Linked DNA regions of Caenorhabditis elegans. The protein of the gene in region 2 purifies or fractionates together with the protein of the main gene of each other region. This does not show direct contact. Each region holds a gene or a part of one and is shown on either strand. Other genes may lie near its edges. The genes, in order: pmk-3 and vhp-1.

Region 1 (6,495 bases), on a different chromosome or scaffold from region 2:
AAAAAAAAGGAATTCAAAAAAAAAATTTTGGAAGCCGACCAAAAAAAATCTCTCCTGACTTTCGTTATAAAATCATTTTTGTTCAAGTGATTAAAAAAATCTTAATTTTTTTTTCAAATAGTCCGCAAATTTGGAAATTTTCCAAAACTTTGACTAAAAATGATGAATAATCTAAAATTAACTCATTGGGTTTTTGTAATTTGCAAAATTTCTTTTAGCTCATTCTAGTATATTTAGACAATATTCACTACACTATAAAAAATCTTCTTCTGTAACTATACCTCATGATATCCTTCTGGAGTAATCTCAGGCGGGGCAGGACCAAAATCGGCAAAAAAGACACCGGGAATGCTGGCTGAATCGCCCATGGTCGCCGACATCCCCATCAACAAGACATCTAGAAAAAGTTTGAATTGAATTTGTAAATATAATTTTTACATTTTTGCACGAAAGTTTTAATATTTCGAAAAAGGGCAGACAATTGCCTACATAGGTATTCCAAAATAATAATTCAATCTTATTTCACATTTTTTAAATGTTTGAATTTTTCTGCTAATTGAATAAACGTTTTAAGCTGAAGTTCAGGATTAACTTTGTCAAGTCAAACTATGCTTTTTATATTAAAAAAATTCCAGAAATTTTCAGATAATCTCACTTTAAACATATAAGCTCGTGTAAAATATGAGTGACACGGATTAGAACCAATCTCTTTTTTATAAAACACTTCAAGCTTTTAAAACGAATTGTCAAAAGAAAATAAGTTTATTGAACTAATTAGTATGTGTAAGGGTGCAATGACAAGAATGACGAATATAAAAAAATATGATGGGATAAAAGCATGAGAGAAAAACGAGACAAAGAGATTCAGAGAAATGGAGAAGTAAAGAGAAAGAGAGAAGGAGACAGAGACATAAAAGGAAGAAGCTATAGAATGCAAGAAAATAAATACTCTGAAAGAATTTGAAAGAGAAGATGGAAAACATCATTATCACCTGTAAAGTGTTGCTATCACTGAACGACAAAGAGACGAGAAAGAGAGAGGGAAAAGAAGTAATACATTTCCGGAATTATATACAATTAATATAATTGAATGAAATCAGCGATCTGCTTCTCCAGGGATTAACGGTGATGAGCTGAGTCTTTTGTAGTTCATTATTTCCTTCCAGACGGCATCTGTAATAAAATATTTTTGCATTTGTTGTTTTTCAAATTTGCAGGTGTGCAGAATTCTATTACGTGATCTTTGAGCCTTACCTCTCCACTCGAATCTTGTTCTAGCTTGAGAGTCATCCAAGTCAAATATATGATCAGCTCTTGGTTCATCTTCTGGAAGTGAAAACTCTGCCAAATATGGATGTTGAATAGCTTCTTCCACCGTAATCCTCTTCTCTGGATCCAAAACTAAAAGCTTCTCAAGTAGATCAATAAAGTCTTCTGATGGATTATGAGCAGAAAATACATCACGGAAATTTCGACGTTTGTGAGTTGTGTAGGATTGAATTACGGCTTTAATTGCAGACGAGTTATCATTTTCAATCTTTGTCAAAAGTTCTTCATCAGGACTTCCACATAATTGAGTAATACGTTGATATTGAGCATTGGGCTCATCACCCGGAAACAGTGGTTCTCCAGTTAAAAGTTCTGCAGCAATACATCCAAGTGACCACATATCTGCCAGATTTGTGTAACTATCAATCTTCCAATAAATGACTTCTGGACTACGGTACCATCTTGTTTGTACATATTGTGTTAGAGAAGTATCTTTCTTTTCCAAGGATCTTGCAAGTCCAAAATCGAGAATCATGAGGTCAGAATCATCGGTCAACGCGAGATTTCCTGGTTTCAAGTCACGATGTATAATCTAAAAAATTTTAATAAATATATTTTCGTGTTTTAGTCATGTTCTTTTTGACTAATTATGGCCTAATCGTGCCTAATCCTCCTATATGAAATTTTATTTAATCTAAAATGCTGATATTTCTATTAAAAAAAAAAGAATGAGCAATGTTCTGTTCACTAACTCCATTGACTTACATTAGCAGAATGAATGTACTTAAGTGCACGTATGATTTGATAAATGATGAATTTGATATGCTCGTCGGTCAGCACGCGCCGTCCATAATCTCTTTGTTGCTTCAAGATCTGATAAAGACTACGACCCGCAAATTCAGTGACAACGTATCTGAAAATTATAGATTGTTTGTAAAACTTTTTTGTAATTACTTACACATCTCGAAAATCGTTTTCCTCGTCAGGTGTGTAGATGTCAAGAGCACAGATGATATTGTCATGTCTCATTAATTGAAGAAGTTTTGTTTCACGGAAGATGCGACGAGCCTGGAAGTTTAAGGTGTTCAAAGGATGTGATCGACCAAATATATTCTCAAAAATGGGTATAAAAACCAAATATCAGCTTTTTGAAATGTTCTTCTAAAGTTTTGGCAATTTTCCAACAAAAAAAAAGACGAAAACAGAAAACAAGATTAGTTTTAAAATTCTGGTTTTGCCCCAAAATTTTGAATCACCACTTCTTGACTGTACATAGAAAAAGTTCGAAAATTTTTAATACGATATTAGTTCATTTGAATTGTAAAAAATATGCTCTAGCTTCAATAAAAATGTATCTTTGTCTTACATGATGTGGATCAAAGAACGGTTCTCGCATCTTCTTTATTGCAACATAACGACGAAGCCCGTCACGGCACACTGCACTTGTTTTTCTGGAAAATATAATCATTCAAATAAAGCACACAAATACTGAAAAACATACATAACATTTCCAAACGAGCCTCCACCCAAATACTCAATGCTGTTTGGCTCGACGTCATAGCCTTCCGGAATTGCAAATGTAATGTTACGGATCATCACAAATTGGAATCGTCGTTTGTGTGGACCACATGGTTTTGAGAGAATATCCTGAAAATATAATGATGATTAAGATTTTGGAATACCTATGGTTGCAATATTGTCAACAATGTTTATTTCTGTAAAGCTAAATTTCTGAGGCATTACATAGCCAGTTTCCTATTTGGTTTGGTCTCTAGTACACGTGCCAATTTTATCATTTGGAAATAAGACGGCGCAATAATTTTGTGTTGCAATTTTTGTAGAAAAAACTTCTCAAAAAATGAGCTATGCGTGCGCGGGGTTAGATTCTTCTGAAAATGTCAATTCTAGTCAATTCTACAAATATTAAGCTAGTTTTGAAACTTTGACAATTATAAAAAAATTAATTATGGAATGTTTTATTTCCATCCTTTTTAGAGTATTAAGGTCGATTTCTTAGATTAAAGTCATACTGAAGCTTTACCTTTATCATTTTTATGATTCTCCGCATATCAACAAAACGCGCGGATTGACTTTCGTCAACTTACGAAATCTAAAATCTTTCTCCCTCACCTCTTCCTCCTCCCCAACCATCTCGTTGTTTCCCGTTGCTTCGATACTCTGCTTCTTAATATTCTCTGCAGCTAACTTTTTCTGTTGTTCCTGCTCTCGTTGTTGTTGCAACCAGGTGTTGGGTTCGTAGCTTTCTGGAGGTTGAGATTGATTATTACTTCGTTTGGTTGGTGGTGCACTTGGTGTTGACACGTCTTCATGACGACGGACATGCGACACTGGGAGACTAGATGACGATGGGACTGACGCCATCTGTAAATTTAAATGGGTTCAAGTTAGGGCTTGAAGTGAAAAAATCAATAACGAAAAGCGTTGTCGGGGGAAATTAGAGGAGTGTCGGGGATTTCAAAATGAAAGTTTTATTGCGAAACACGCCATGTAAACTCGAACACTCAAGCGACCTATATTTTTGCGGAGTGAAGTGTAAAAATTGTGAAACAATGATTTTTTTATTGTTTATGGTCACTACTTTGTTTTCTTTTGGAGGTTTTCGGATTCACTATAACTTTAGGAAATTCGATATTTTAGAAAATATTAGGAATTTTGAATTTATCAACAAAAAAATCAACTCAATCAATGAAGATTAAATAGAAGAATTTCCCATAGTTTTGGCAATTACTAACAATATCTATTTACATTTGAACTGTTAGTAATTGTTCTCTCGCAATTTTTGTAACGCGTACTTAAAGACACATGGATATTTTTGAATTGGGTCTCAAAGAGTCAGATTTAAATGTTATTCGTTTTTGTCTATTTTTGTGAAATTTTCAAAATATTTTTTCATTAATTGTGGAATGGAGGGATCATAAAAAATTCTCAGAACTTTTTCTGATGGCGAGACCCATAAGAGGAATTATGCAAAAAAGGTGCAAAACTACCATGAAATTATGTAAAAGATTCGGGTGCTCAATCAATTGTAATTAATAAAATCGGTGAAATACTTGTGAGCTCAGTTAAATTGAGATGAGCACTACAGTTTGTTTTATATTTTCTTGTTTATTTACTGAGTAGCGTCTCTTTGAATTTCGTAAAAAAGTGTACAGTGTTTGTTCGAATATGAGCAATATTTAGGTTCAAACAAAGTTAATTATAAAGGGTAAATAATATATTTCATTTCAATTTTAAATTATCAGAAAATTCGTCTTTTGTTCAGCGCTCCACTATTATGAAGTTTACCAAAAACAAAATATCTCACCTGTTATTATAATAAAGTTGTAGACTAGACGTTCCTGTATTGATTGATTTTGAGTATATGTTATGATAAAAATACTGGAGAAAACTGAAAAAAGACGGAAGTATAATTATCAGTGACCAAGGAAATTGGAAGAAACAGTGAGGTCAATCAGATATGAGTCAGCAGCGATTGAGACGCAGTGAAAAATGGGAAACGAGAGGAAGACATACAAAGGGCGAAGGTCGAATTTTTTATTTGGTTGATGGAAAATATTATTGTAGATAAATATTTTAAAATATCTACAAATTATTCATCTCCTTTTCGGTTGATCTTTGTGGATACAGAATTTTGAAATTAAAAAAAAACAATATAAATCTGGTTAACATCATAAAACAATGTCTATATTTGACTATTTTCTCTCCTTCTTGATCTTCCTGATCCTTTGCTTCGATTGGAGTTAGTTCGATGTAAAGGTCCCATTGATTTGGATCTTTTTTGACTTGAAGCTTCACTTGATTGTCTTCTACTTGCAACTGACGGCTGCCTTGATCCTAACCGATTTTCCATTATTGAATTCGTGTCAAGGAATCCAGATTGATATCTTCCAACGCTTGTAGCTCTTAGGGTATTATATGGACTTGCTACAAAAATGTTATTCGGAGATCGTCTATGAAGGGAAAGTGTGGAACATCCAGGAATTCTGAAATTATAGATTTACAGAATCTTGTTCCGGTTTGAATGAAGTTCTTACACTGGTGGATACAGTTTCTTTTCATCGTGTGGCTTAACTACATTAGACATTGCGTGTCGATTCTCAAGAACTGGGTACGCAGGTGGAGGTAGAGGTTGATATGGATCTTTCTCAAAGATCGGAGGTAGCGGCTGTAAACGTGTAACAACTAAAATGGGTACATTTTGATTTTGAATTGATACGCATTATTACCTACATTCTTCGTTCTAGTGAACTGTATCTAAGCCTTGTAAGGTTTCAAACACATTGCTGTTTCGGTTAATTTGGCAATTTACCAAAACTATGCCATTTTCAGAAATCTAAAATGTTTTAATAGTTTTTTTTAAATTATGGTACGATCATTTTGAGTTTGTTTAGACGTTAATTTGTTAGCTTTAATTGTTTATATTACTTTCATGAAATTTTCAAAGGTGTAGTCGCAACTTTTACAAGGACATGTGGGTTTCTAATTGAATTTGAATTTTCAATTAATCAAAAAGACTTACCACATAATGTGTTGTAATAGTCGTAAGCCTAGCAGGATCATTGTGCTTCTTTGTGTGGTGTAACGAGAGATCACAGAGCTTTGTTGTGCATAAAAAGTAGATTAATGAAATTATCAAAAACGAACATCCGAGTCCAAATAAAATAGGACCCGCAATTTGAATTGGTGGTGGTCGTATTCTTTGTTCGTATGGCCAAGTCCAGAATGGTGAAGTATAAAGGTATTTATATCCAAGAAGTGACATTAGTAGTCCTCCAATTAGGAGAAAAACGCCGAATGCTGTACAACAAATCAATGATGACGAGCCACGAAATTTTCTTTAAAAAATAATGCTTTTTTCAGGGTTTTTTTTTAAATTTTTGATAAAGTAACTTGATGTATATTTTCTGCGTCTCTGTTGAATTTTCGCGTTGAATATGATGTATTAGGACATACTCCATTAAATTATAATCTACGAGTTATTTAGTTGAGCTATTCAACCCTCATATTTCCAGCTTACAGTTTCAATTATCAAAAAACTAACGATGTTCTATATGGAAAAAATCCAAATGTTGCTGGATACAATATATCCCATCCTTTTGGATAATAATAGAAATATGGATCACGTTGAGCCATTGGTCCAAAATGAAGAACTCTTTGATTTCCAGTCCATTGTTGAGGATCAATCTCACTTGCACCAGCTTGAAC
Region 2 (5,108 bases):
TGTTTTAGAAACTTGGGGTTACTCAGCGTACGGTTTACAATAAAATGCTTTCTAGTTTTAGTTTTACATCTGCTCCATGAGACTTTCTTTTTGGAACGAGTTCGTGTGTTTTCAGAATATGTAAAAAATTGAGGTAGGTTGAGATCTAGTTTACCATTAATCATCTTCATAATAGTTTTTCTGTCATAGATTTGGCTCCGCGTTTGTAGTGAGCTCAAAAATTTCATTGCGTTCGGATGCAGATTTATACTCCGAGTCAGTTGGACTCCGAGTCAGTTGTAGTTAATTTTTACAACGATTTTGATATTTTAAGAATATCTGAGAAAGTAAACCTAGTTTATTTAGATTTAAATGTTTAGTGTAAATGTTTTCTGCCAATTCTGAATCATCGGAGCGATCTAAACAGGATTCTAGAATTCCAATGTTTTCGAAACTTTTAGTTTTAATATAAATCTATTTCTGTTCAAACTTCTCTTTCAAATCTTCGTGTTTTCTACACCATTTCAAATTCATTCAAATTGTAATAGTGATTGTCTGATAGTGGGGGGATCATTCCATTTTCCTCCAATCGTCACTTTTTGCTTGTGGTTTCGTTGATTTTTGATGGCATATGATAAGAGATTGTCTGTTTGACCACATGCATTGCGAAATCCACAGTGCTTTTGGGCTGATTTTTTACGACGGTGGTGGTGGTGAAAAGATCCTGGATGCAAACAGGCACAGAAATTTGTGAACAGAGAGAGAAAGAGTAAGAGACGGTCATACAACAAACTATACACAAAAATAGTGAGTGATCAGCCGGTTCGACGCGCACTCGTAAGAGGGTACCTATGAATTATAAAGAGAACTATGAAAGAGAGAGAGAGAGAGAGAGAGAGAGAGAGAGAGAGAGAGAGAGAGAGAGGGGGGGGGGGGGGTACAGAGAAAGGGAGACAAAAGAGACCGTAACGGCGCGGCCGGTTCTCCACACCAGCAGCAGCAATCTCTCCTGGCGCTCTCCACTGTTTTGGGTACTGTTTTGAGGTCGATTTGTCTACACCTCTTATTGGTCAATACTATATTTGTATCTCTACAACTCTGCGCCTCTCCTCTCTGGTGTCCCTATGACGCAGGCAATTGTGAAGAAGTGAGATGAACAACGACTTTCAAAATAACATACCCTTCATTTTTAATACACATTAATTATTGTGATCTCTAGATTTATTAGACCTATAGGCTTTTTTTGGCAAAATTTTAGAAATTTTCCTTGTTGGGATCTGAACAGTAACAAGGATCTTGTAAACCAGTTCTACCAGGGAATTAACTTAAAATTTATAATTACAATTTTGCATTCAGGCAAGTTCGGTTTTGTTAAAGTCACCAATCATGAATTGTATGAAAACTAGCTTATAAAAACTGCATAAGAACATTGCAATCGCGAAAAGCAAGGAATCTTAATCTTAAAAACCCTAGCTATTCAACTATCGCAAGCCTATTTTTTGGTATTGCTCCAAGAGCTTAGATCTAAGTTGTCAGAGGAGCACGAAGGTGCACGACTAATAGGGAGAATACAGTACTTTCCAAAAATGTCTGGATTTAATTTTTGAACCATCTTCTTTCCTTGTAATCTACTTATCTTGTTCTATAGATGTCCAATCCCAAAACTCTCTGGATCAATCTGTTTTCTTTTCGACCTGTTTTTCAATATTTCTTCTTCTAATGTCCTATTGTACATACAAAAACCAACAACGTCTTTTCTGTTGACAAGTGCACGTCATTGCCCCCTCTTCTATCTTTTTTTCAATTTTCTCTCCTACTTTTTTGTGTCGTTTCACTTTCCCATCGTTATATTCTTACAGGTTACCTCCCCCTAATTCAGAATGGACGTACCGTCTGGGTCTTTGCTCTAAAGAAGGAGATTAGTATCTCCTTTTTGGTTCTGTAATTGAAATACAGTTATTGACAAAAAAAAAGCGCCCCAAACGATCCTCAACACTTGGAATCAATTGCAACCTGTGACAAGTTGGATTAACGTCCGAAAATACTTTTTTTCTGAAAATTAAAACAACAAAAGTTCAAGCTGGAGTCGTCAAAGCTCACGGCCGATCAGTTGAGCAAAACTGAAAAAATGCTCAAGGTGAGCTTTATTATTTTATTATTTTGAAACGGTAAATTTATAAATTAGGAATTTACAAAGTGTTCTTAAAGATATTTTAACAGCTATTGTGATGAAGTTATTTTTTTAATTGATTTTAATTTTTAATCTAGCCACTATTTTTTAATTTCACCGATTGCACTCTTTTTGGGATCAATCAGCAAGAAACTTACATTGGATCTTCAAAATGGGTAAAAATGTGTAGTTTTTTGGCGATGAGGCTCCACAACTAGGAAAAATGTATAACTGTAAATGTCATTAATCTTCATATTTTCAATCTATTTTCTTCATTTTCCGAACTGTATTTATTTAATCTAACTAGTAAACTATATTTTGTTTTCGTATCAATGAATTTTTCCTTGTAACTACAATTTAGTTTTAAATTCCGTAAAGGTTACTGTATAAGGTTATGACCAGTTTTTGCTCTTATTCAAATGTCGTCAAGCGAAATGATAACGGAACACCTCATAAAAACAAATAATGACGTTTTTCTTGAAGACTCTATAAAAGTCAGTGCTCCAAAAAACACTGCACTCCTCTGATTCACTGTTTAAATGATTTTTGCAACTTTGCACATTGTACCCAGTAGGTACTTGATGAATAACCCCAAATGTAAACATGATTTTTCAATTGATTAAGACTTTTTAAGTGTATTCTATAAGTTATAATATCAGAGAACAGATGATCAATTCCATAGTGTCTCTTATCAGCTGCGTGTTTTCTGCCGAGCTCTGGAAAATGTCAGTGATAAGGGAGAAAGGTATGAGTCGCTGACCGGTGCAAACACATGAACTTCAAAATCATATTTTGATGTCATTTAAGGAATCTAATTATTATAAGGAAAAGTGTGAAAAATGAAAATGACTCAGAAGTTAGAAAGAGGTTCGAGATTATGAAAGCTTCATTACTACCAAAAACATTAGTATGATAATTTTTAAAAAATAATAAGCTAGAAAAACAACACCAATTATCTTTCAGAAATTCAATAATAGCCGTTTTGTACATTTTACACCCAATTTCCTAAAATTTCCGAAAAATTGCGAATTGGTAAAACTTTCAGAAAATTTTTGTATCATAATTTTGAAAATCAAACAAAAAATTGTTCTCGAGTTTCATGTTTTAATTGAGTTCTAAAAACTGATATCTGAACATTCTAGAAGCTGGAACCTGTAAAATTGCTCTATAGCTCTGGAAACGTTTTTTTTGCTGTTAATTTGGCCATCTACCAACTGAAAATTTTTTAAAGTTTAAAAACTATTGGAGTTTTTAATTTAATATGATATTTGATAATGTTGGACTATTATTTGAGTATTCACATATATTTTTTCACTGCCGATGTACCTTTAAATCAATTAATTTAATTTGTTCCCATTTTGAATCTTTGCTTTCCATTCTGTACCCTTTTCCCCAAAATATTTATGAAACAATTTGTTCTTTCCTTATCTTCATTTGTTTATGACCTATTTCAAAGTTCAAAGGTTCTGTAAACATCGGGAATTTGCAATTTTTCCTAAATATTGTGTTTTTCTACAACAAAAGTGACGTTACACACATCATTCATTACCCCTTTTTTGTAGAAAACAGGTTTTTAGTTCTCTTGCTAAATAGAAAGGAAACTATTTTTTCGAAAGAAACAATGACGTGATTGAAAGTCTTGCAAAAGTGTAATCTGAATTTTAAAAGTGGGTTTTTTATTTTGAAAAACTGTTTTCAAAAATATAAATATGGGAAATATGAAATCATAATATTATCGGATTTTTTTAAATTTTAAATATTATTTTCAAATTGTTTTTCAGAAATTATTTTTTCAAATTTGTTCCATTTATAATTCGAACGAACTTTTCAATTCACTCCCCAACAGAGATCCATCTGTCGACTTTTTAACTTGTTTTTCTCTTTTTTTGTCCAATGTTTTTACGAGTAAAAAACTGTAGATCAAAAAGGGTGAAATGTGAATGTTTATGAATGTGGAAAGTTATAAATAGTGAATACGAATGGAATTTTTGTGTGAGAGAGATGAAAAAAATTGTTGATTTTAGAGTGGAATCGAGCAAATATATACAATCAGTCGATGCTCTCTGTTGTCGATCCATGCGTTCTCATTTTTGCCATTTTTCCTTGTCGGTGGTTTTTATTTTAGAACAAAGCAACTCTTTTCCTGGCCAAAAATTGTTGACTTTAATTAATTTAAGGTTATCTAGGGGTGTAAAAACATTCTGAAGGTTTTTTAGGTTTTTTGTTGTAAAAACTTTTTTACCCAGCTCGATCAAATAATTTTCCGTTTAAAAAATTTAAGTAAATTTTTAAATATTTTATTTAGCTGAAACAGTGGTCTGAGAATTTTTCAGATCTACTTTGCCATGACTATCTGCTGCCAAAAGCAGGTAAGCTTTTTCTGCCTTCATGGAAGCTTGAAATGTTTATTAAAATTCAAACGCTGTTTAAATTTAAATTGTTTGAATATGAATGTTTCAAAATTCTCAGTTAAAAACCTTCTCCATTCTAATTTTTTGTTCCGAATAGCCTACCTGCAATATTTCGGTGTGTCAAACTTTTGTTAAGGCAGTAGAAATTAGTTTCCAATTCATACGTATACTATTTTAGCGCTTGAGTTTTTGGTTTTGGAAATGTTATGTATTATGATGTTTTGATGGCTTCTTAATTTTTAAAAAATTGAGAAAAATTAAGAGATGCTTGACAATTGTCAAATTGTAAATTCAAGAATCAAAAAAATTGCCGTATTTTCTCTCATTCACTAGGTTTTTTTCGACTAATTTTGTAGAAAATTCTTAATTCTCTAGAGCTATTTCATTATACATGTGTGGTCTAAAACTGTTTAGAATTTTCGAAATATCCAATTCGCCGAATGTTTCGAAAATTTCGCAATAAAAGGGCACTGACAGCTGGAGGGTCCAATTTCAATACAGATGGCCGAGGTCTTCAGAAGGAGAAAAAAGATTCAAGGAATGGATTA

What was found.
Region 1: the proteins of vhp-1 (region 2) and pmk-3 purify together in Caenorhabditis elegans (affinity purification with western blotting, with the first as the bait; one study listed by BioGRID). This does not show direct contact.

Annotation. Positions count from the first base shown.
Region 1 is NC_003282.8:8,137,402-8,143,896, reverse strand, and holds pmk-3 (Mitogen-activated protein kinase pmk-3), read right to left. Parts: upstream 4,679-6,495; 5' UTR 4,595-4,678; intron 3,652-4,594; coding exon 3,400-3,651; intron 2,917-3,399; coding exon 2,771-2,916; intron 2,721-2,770; coding exon 2,636-2,720; intron 2,338-2,635; coding exon 2,228-2,337; intron 2,183-2,227; coding exon 2,035-2,182; intron 1,862-2,034; coding exon 1,255-1,861; intron 1,174-1,254; coding exon 1,097-1,173; 3' UTR 746-1,096; downstream 1-745. Other genes in the region: Mitogen-activated protein kinase pmk-2, read right to left, coding at 282-386; islo-1 (Interactor with SLO-1), read right to left, coding at 4,973-5,273, 5,325-5,455, 5,810-6,125, 6,332-6,495. UniProt on the Caenorhabditis elegans protein: Responds to activation by environmental stress and pro-inflammatory cytokines by phosphorylating downstream targets. Involved in axon regeneration after injury, probably downstream of dlk-1 and mkk-4 and upstream of mak-2. May phosphorylate mak-2.
Region 2 is NC_003280.10:5,321,169-5,326,276, forward strand, and holds the start of vhp-1 (protein-tyrosine-phosphatase), read left to right. Parts: upstream 1-2,107; coding exon 2,108-2,116; intron 2,117-5,108. UniProt on the Caenorhabditis elegans protein: Acts preferentially on the c-Jun N-terminal kinase (JNK) and p38 MAPKs. Plays an important role in the heavy metal stress response and in axon regeneration by negatively regulating the kgb-1 (JNK-like) and the pmk-1 (p38-type) MAPK signaling pathways.